Alligator mississippiensis: one gene and its partner. The protein of the gene in region 1 binds, or shares a complex with, the protein of each later gene. Links are inferred from orthologs where the notes say so. Each region holds a gene or a part of one and is shown in the gene's direction. Other genes may lie near its edges.

Evidence for each region.
Region 2: ITPR1 (region 1) and PRKG1 share a complex: the UniProt entries of both Homo sapiens proteins name them as parts of the cGMP kinase signaling complex. The link is inferred for Alligator mississippiensis from reciprocal best matches to the Homo sapiens genes ITPR1 and PRKG1.

The regions. Positions count from the first base shown.
Region 1 is NC_081835.1:11,705,925-11,709,668, forward strand, and holds the start of ITPR1 (inositol 1,4,5-trisphosphate receptor type 1), read left to right. Parts: upstream 1-797; 5' UTR 798-871; intron 872-3,744. UniProt on the Homo sapiens protein: Inositol 1,4,5-trisphosphate-gated calcium channel that, upon inositol 1,4,5-trisphosphate binding, mediates calcium release from the endoplasmic reticulum (ER).
Region 2 is NC_081829.1:65,211,600-65,215,343, reverse strand, and holds the start of PRKG1 (cGMP-dependent protein kinase 1), read left to right. Parts: upstream 1-1,327; 5' UTR 1,328-1,845; coding exon 1,846-2,156; intron 2,157-3,744. UniProt on the Homo sapiens protein: Serine/threonine protein kinase that acts as a key mediator of the nitric oxide (NO)/cGMP signaling pathway. GMP binding activates PRKG1, which phosphorylates serines and threonines on many cellular proteins.

The DNA.
Region 1 (3,744 bases):
TGGGGAGGGGGGCACTGCTGGGGGGGGGGTCTAGTGCCAGTGCCAGCTATACCGGGGAGGGGGCAATGCTGGGGGGTCCTCTGGTTGTACCTGGGGGGACACTGCTGCGGGGTCTTTTGGTTGCACTTGGGGAAACACTGCTGGGGGGGTCTTCTGGTGCCAGTGCCAGTGATACCTGGGGGGACACTGCTGAGGGGGTCTTTTGGTTACATCTGGGGGGACACTGTTGAGGGGTCTTCCGGTGCCAGTGCGCAGCTATACCTTGGAGGACATGGCTGGGTTGTCTTCTGGTGCCAATGCCAGCTATTTTTTGGGGGGGGGGCACTCCTGAGGGGGGTTTCTAGTGCCAGTGCCAGTGATACCTGGGGGGACACTGCTGAGAGGGTCTTTTGGTTACATCTGGGGGGACACTGTTGAGGAGTCTTCTGGTGCCAGTACGCAACTATACCTTGGAGGACATGGCTGGGTTGTCTTCTGGTGCTAATGCCAGCTATTTTTGGGGAGGGGGGCACTGCTGGGGGGGGTCTAGTGCCAGTGCCAGCTATACCTGGAGGGGCACTGCTGGGGGGTCTGCTGGTGCCAGTGGCAGCCACACCTGGGAGGACTTCTGGTTACACTTAGAGGGACACGGCTGGAGGGGGGGGGGGGTCTCCTGGTGCCGGTGCCAGCTGTACGTGATGGGGTGGGGGGTGCCGTGGTGCGGCGGGGCGGGGCGGGGCGGGGCGGCGCGGCGGGACTACATTACCCAGGCGCCCGGCGCGCACATATAAGCGGGCGCGGAGCGCGGCGGCGGGCGCAGTCAGCATGTGTGCGGGCGGCGCGCGGCGCGGGGCGGGCGGGAGCATGGCAGCGCCGGGTGGCTGCTGAGCAGGTAGGACGGGCATCCTCCCGGTGGCGGGCACGTGGCGGGGAGAGCTCCCCGGGGGATGCTTTGGGCACAGCCCGCTGCCCCTGGTCCTTCTCCTTCCTGCCGCTTCGTCCCTGGGGCTGGTCCAGCTGCCCTGCTGCAGTGGGGGCTGGGGCCCTGGCTGCTCGGGCTGGGCTGGGCTGGGCTGCAGGTGCGGGCTGCACAGGTGGGCTAGGCCCGAGGGCAGGAGACGGGCGGGCGGCCGTGGGCTGAAGCGTCCGGCTCCTCCTGGCAGGGCGAGGGGTGTCGAGGGCTAGATGTGGGGACACGGAAGGAAAAGCAGGAGTGGGATGACACGGGGCGCGTGTAACGGGGACGCGCGGCCGCTGGCGCGAGCGGAGGAGTGTGAGGAAGTCGCTTGTTTATGTGAGCTGAACTTGCTTCCCGGGCAGAGATGTTGGATTCTTGCGAGTCCCCGTCCACGGATCCGGAGCCCGGGCGAGAGACGTGCCGTGTCCTGGGCAGACGGGATCCGCGGCGGAGGCAGGAGCCGAGCTTGGGGGAGATCCAGCAGTCCCTTTCTCAGCCCAATAAATCACTGCGTTTGTATACTGGAAAACCGTTTTAGTTGATTGGGTGGGGGGAAACAAAAAATGCTGCCTGAAGTCAAGTGGTTCTGGATGAGACGGATGTAACTTGCATGTTTTCAGCTCGGCTGTTTCTCCCCCGCCCTGCCTTCAGAAAACAACCCAAGTACATGAGATTTCTTTTTTCAGACCATCTTAAGCTTGAAGGGACTCGGATTTGGGTGAGGCCTGCGCCTCTGCCACGATGGTTTAGGGGGAATGTGTTAGAACTAACTTTTTATAGCTTTTTTTATGCTTGACACGGAGTTATAGGGATGTTTTGTATTATGTAAACACACATGAATGCTATTGGAGAACTTGGCTATAGACGATCATATTCTTTAAATGGTCAAATGCTGGGCAGTTGTAACCACGACCCTCCAAAATATCCACCCACAAGTACTAAATATTTAGTGGTTTCCTGGACTACAATAACTAGACTTAAGGAGGGTAGGGAGGGGGTCGGGGAAGAAATCCAGTGCTTCGCAACTCTCTGCTGTTTTGCATCCTGTTGATAAAAGCCTAATTATTTGCTAGCTACTTTGGACATTTTTGGATTTGGTTGCTTGTTTAAGTCCCGTCCTGTCGTTCCTCTGAACATGTGGAGATATTACATCTGGTCTAATGCAACAGCTTGTGGTCTCCTAGGAGGAAGTGGGGGGGGGGGGGGACTTTCCTGTATAGTACTAAGTATGTAACAGCCAGTTTAGTGGAACAGTACAGGGTTAGGCCTGGCCCCCTGACACAGACACACCGTTCTCATGGCTGCATCAAATAATTTTGCCATCCAGTCCCACAGCCTGGGTATGTGCAGTGGGTTGTGCTGTAGGACAAAGTAGCAAATCAGAAAGACAACGGCCTGTGGACTCCAGATGTGACAGACTTCCTAAAATCTGGCTGCTGGGGCACAGGGAGTCCATTTCCAAATGAAAAGCAGACATGTTGAGATGTGAATTTTGGAGAAGTGAAGGCTTTGCTCAGGGTTGTTCGGTATCCCCTGTCTTCTTCCAACACTGGGCATATCTGTTGTGCCTGGACTGTGCTCACAACCTGCCTGCTCCATGTGTCTTACCCAGGGAGGGGGGATGCACTGTGGCCACTATTAGGGGTCCTGGGCCTTTGCAGTAATTGTTGTGTCTGGGCATACTTGAATGCTTCTGGCCCCTTGCTGGAGGACTATACTACTATGGTCTGGGGGCGGTCAAGACATGCCCTTATTGTTTTTGATAAGGCAGCAGATAAATTTTCTCTCAACAGGTGTGTGCATGGCATGCCTTCCCCAGGAGCCTATGGTTCAAAGCCCTTAATTCTGCACCCTTCTTGTTTTCTTGCTAAGTCCAGAGTGCAAGGGGTGCAAGATGCACCCTTTGAGACTTAACCTGCCTAGGACAAAAGAAATGCACTTCTGTGGATGATGAAATGGGCATTGTCCATTGTTTTGTTTTAAGCACTGCTTTGCTTGAAACTCATCTCAGGGGGTCAGAGTAAATGGTCATCAAGTACGCTGTTCCTGTGTGCTCGGTGGGTAACAATGCTGCATGCTTACAGTGAAGTGCCAGTGGCCTCACACCAGTTGCCTGGCCAATACTGACAATAGCTGTGAGCGCTGCCTTCAGGAGATCTGATATGACACACAGGGCATATTTCTCCGAGCTTCGCTTGTTGTCAAAGGAGATGTGAGCGGAGCGAGTCGGTCAGTGGAAAGCGGCGGTGTGGGCAGGGGTTCTGTATGTGGGTAACTTTGGCATATGCCAAGCAGCAAAGGACAGACTGAGTTGGTGGGGGGGTGCTGGATGAAGTTTGAGAACTGCTTCCTTGTTTTTTCAAAGCAGCCCTCAAATAGGGCCCACCTGGGAATCTGACCTTCTGACATGGTCTTTATTGGATGAATAATCCAGTTTGTTTTTTCTCTTCAATCTGCCATTCCACCGCTGACATTAGACCCGGCCTGTTTACATGAAAGTGTTTTCCGTCTGCTGGTAGTGCAGCAATCGTTAACTCTTGAAATATGGAGCTGTTTGGACCCCTTTTATGCTGGTACTCGGGAGGAAGTCAACAAAACAGTGTGATTAGCTTCAGTTTGCCTTTGAAACATGAGGGAGGAGCCAAAGTGTGGGAAATGGCTTTTTTTTCTCTGTAACCAGCTACTTTTACATACGGTCAGGAGAGGGTGGGGAAGAGAGTTCAGAAATAATTAACACCTTGTCAGTTTGCTTCTTCAAGAACTAATGCTGGAGCCAGGCATCTGTTTGGCAAGGTCGTACTGTCCTT
Region 2 (3,744 bases), on another chromosome or scaffold:
TGCATTTTGCTGTTTTATGGTGCCAAACCACTAATTGTACAGTCAAAACACTTTCCCTTCTACAACAGAAAAACCTGTGCTTTGACACATCCTGTGCAAGCCATAAGAAAAACACTTATTTGGCACCTGGATGTTGCTGGACCAGGCCCCTTCTATTGCCTAAGTGTAGAAATCAAATGTTAGTGCTTCGTCCTAGCACATGCATGTTTGATAAATCATGCTTGATAAATCCAAATGTGCACCTGGATGGAGCAGTTTAAGCCAGCGTACCAGTGTACCAGTATAGGGATTTTTCTCTGGAAGTAGTTGCATGTGTTTTGTTATTTAGATTACAGTATGGGGGAGGGGAGGAAGGCAAAGGGGAAAAGGGACCAACACTTGCCAGGAGTAAGTAGGATTCCTCTTCCAGACAGGATTTTTTATTTTTACGGGACAACTGAAATTGTATGATGGCTCTTGAAAATTGGTAAAACCAAGGAATTGTAAGTGGTGTTCAGCCAGGATTTGGTTGGGTTTGCACTGTTCGGTGAAGTAGAAAGATACTCATTCTCTACCGAGCTAGTGAAATAGGAAAGATAGGAACTAAGTAAATCTGGATCTGCAGGATTTTGGTACAGATGCCATTTTGATGCCTTTGTTGTCGGATGTATCTAATTGAGATACTTGGGGCTTGCACCCTGGGAGCAGCTAGCCATGTTCTTTCTTCAAGCAGTGTTTATTTGGGTGATTACTGTCAGAACTGGTCCAGTTCAGTAGCATTAAGATGACATCTGGTTTGGAAGCACCCTGTAACCAGGATGTGTGACATGCCTGCTTTTTGGCTTTAGGGGTGGGACTGTGCCTGTGGGGTCCAGTGCTATGTTCCAGACCAGAGTTTCACTGTGCCTGGGGCAGGGGCTGCCAGGCTTTCCTTTGGTGGGGCAGGAGGTCCTCCCTGCTCCCCACACACCGGGTAGAGTTGGAGGAAGCTGGGCTTGCCCTGTTGAGCTTCCCACCACAGGAGCAAAGCTTGTGCTTGTGTATGTCTGCACCCTAGGGCTTCAGCTCCCCCCAGATCACTGGAACTCGAAGGCTTTGCTCCCTAGCAGTGCTTGTTGCCTGGTTTTCCTGACGGAGACTTAAGGAGTAAACAGACAGGAGTGCAAAGCCGGCCGGGGATGCCCAGGCAAAGCGGGGGCGTGTGAAGAGGACCGTGGGGGCAGCGGAGATCGTGGTTCGTGGCCGGTTTCCAGGGGCAAGGCAGGCACATGTGAAATGCTGCGCCTCGCCTGAAAGCCCGAGCTGTGAGCGGCAGGGTCTGCCCCTCCGCCGCGGGCTGGAGCTCGGCTCGGCTCGGCTGCGCTGGCCCCGGAGCGGCCCCCCCGGTGCCAGAGGCAGAGGGAAAGTGCATGTGCTACGGCATCCTGCAGACGCCCCTTTCCTCCGTGCCCCCTCCCCCTCGGTGAGTGTGTGCCTCTCTCCAGTCTTAGCCTGACGCAGGCAGATCGAAATCACCTTTCACGCCCCAGCCTTCAGCGGAGTGGCGCCGCTGGGTTTCCCTTTCGGATTATGCCTCTAATCCTCCTCCCATAACCGAGCGCGGAGCGCGGCCAAGTCACCCCGGCGCGGCGCGGCGCGGCGCGGCTCTGCTCGGCGCGGCGCGGCGTGGCGCGGCTCGGCGCAGGCTGCCGGCTGGGGGCTGGGGGCGTGCTTCAGGGGCGAGCGGCATTTGCCGGCGGCAGGTCGATCCGGAGCGATCGGCAAAGTTGGCCGAAGTGGGAGGCAGCGGCCACTTGGGGGAAAGTTGCCGGGAGCGCAGCGGACGAGCCAGGCTCCGAGGCAGGAGCCGGCGGGCCGAGGAGGAGCATGGGCACTTTGCGGGATTTACAGTACGCGCTGCAGGAGAAGATCGAGGAGCTGAGGCAGCGGGATGCTCTCATCGACGAGCTGGAGCTGGAGTTGGATCAGAAGGACGAGCTGATCCAGAAGCTGCAGAACGAGCTGGACAAGTACCGCTCCGTGATCCGGCCCGCCACGCAGCAGGCGCAGCAGCAGGGCTCCGGCACCTTGCAGGGCGAGCAGCGGACCAAGCGGCAGGCGATCTCCGCCGAGCCCACCGCCTTTGACATCCAGGACCTCAGCCATGTCACCCTTCCCTTCTACCCCAAGAGCCCACAGTAAGCAGGGGTTAAGCGTTGTGTGCATCTGGCATCCTGTCTTTGGTCCTTCAGTGGTCTGTATTGTCTGTCCATCCACTTGTCCAGGCGAGTCCCTGCACCTCCCGCTTGCCGTGTCTGTTCTCCTGCCCGCGGCTGAGCCCGCGGGTAACGCTGCGGGCCGCTCCGGGGGCTGCCCTGTCTGTCTCGTGCCCTGTGTGTTTCCGCATTGCTGCTGCCTCCTGCGCCTCTCGCCTTTCCTCCCGCTCCTCGTCCCGGCGCGGCGGGGCCGTGCTGTGCGCTCCCGCGGGGCCGCGGCTCGGGGTCCCCCCGGGGTCGCGGGGCAGGGCAGGGGGAGCCGGGCTAGAGCTGCTGCTCCCTGCCCGCTTGCACACACCGTCCTCCGGGCCTCACAGCTCAGCCTCGAGCCTGCGGGAAGAGCCCGGCGCGCTTTGAAACAATGGGCGAGCGGAGCCCCGCGGTGCCCTGCTCCGGGAGCGCGGCTGCAGCTTGTTTCCTCGCCGGCTGCTCCGTCTCCCACCCGCCATCCCTTGTGTGCGTAGCTGAGCGCTGTCATCTGGCAGCTGACACCTTGCGGCCGCCCTCCTGCGTCCCCGGGCGGAAAAAACATCTTCTCTTTGGCGCCTCGGGCGGCCTCAGCCTTGTGCCCTTCCCGGCCGGGGTGAGGAGCCGCTCCCGGGGGAGGGAAAGCCGGCGGCCGGGCGGGGGCGTCCAGCCAGCAGAGCCCGCGGCTCCTGCCCCGGCTCCACACCGCCTCAGGGAAATCGCTTGGGTTTTTTGGGCGAACACCTGTTGAGGGACGAGGCCTTCTCTACTCCCCAAGTTTGGAGAGAGGGTGGGGAAGGCAGACAACGGCCAGGTGTGCGGACAGTTTATAGCCCTGGAGCCCGTCATTAGGTCTTATGGAGGGCTCTGGAGTAATAGGCATCAGGCGATTGATTGTAGTAGGAAGGAGAATGAGGAGGCAAGAGTGGGGTGAGCAAGGATCAGTCTACACAAGATAGAGCTTGTCTTCAGACTCCCTCCAAGTCCTGCTGGAAGTGATCCACAGCTTGGCAGGCAGGGGGATGTGGAGTGACTGGGGAGGTAGAGCTGAGGAGCCCCGGGCAGCTGTGGGGATTTCCTTCTTGGCTGAAGTTCGGTTCAACTAGGGACCAGCCCAGAGGGAAGATCTCGAGGCTGGAAACCTGTGCGGTGTTTTCATCGCATTCACGGTCTAAGCAACACCCTTTCTCCCACAGTTGTTGTGTCCTCTCCACCCTGCTGGTTGGGAGCTTTTCAGGGGGGAAAAGCCCTGCACGGCTATCTTTCTGCAACTATATGTTGCTTGTCCCCAGAAGAAAGGGTGAAGGGAAAGTTTGTAAGAAATCTCTTTTTTAAAGCTTTTAAATAAGTCTGTCCTGGTTTTACACTTCCCATCAAAGACTATGCAAACTGATATGGTTTTCTCCATTAAAACACAAGGAATATCACATCCCCCACACTACTTAATTATCTCTATAGCTACCCAATAAACCTTGATGTATTTGGTTCAATCATCATGAAAAAGCTTGTATACTTTTTAATTCACTTCTTACATCAAAACACA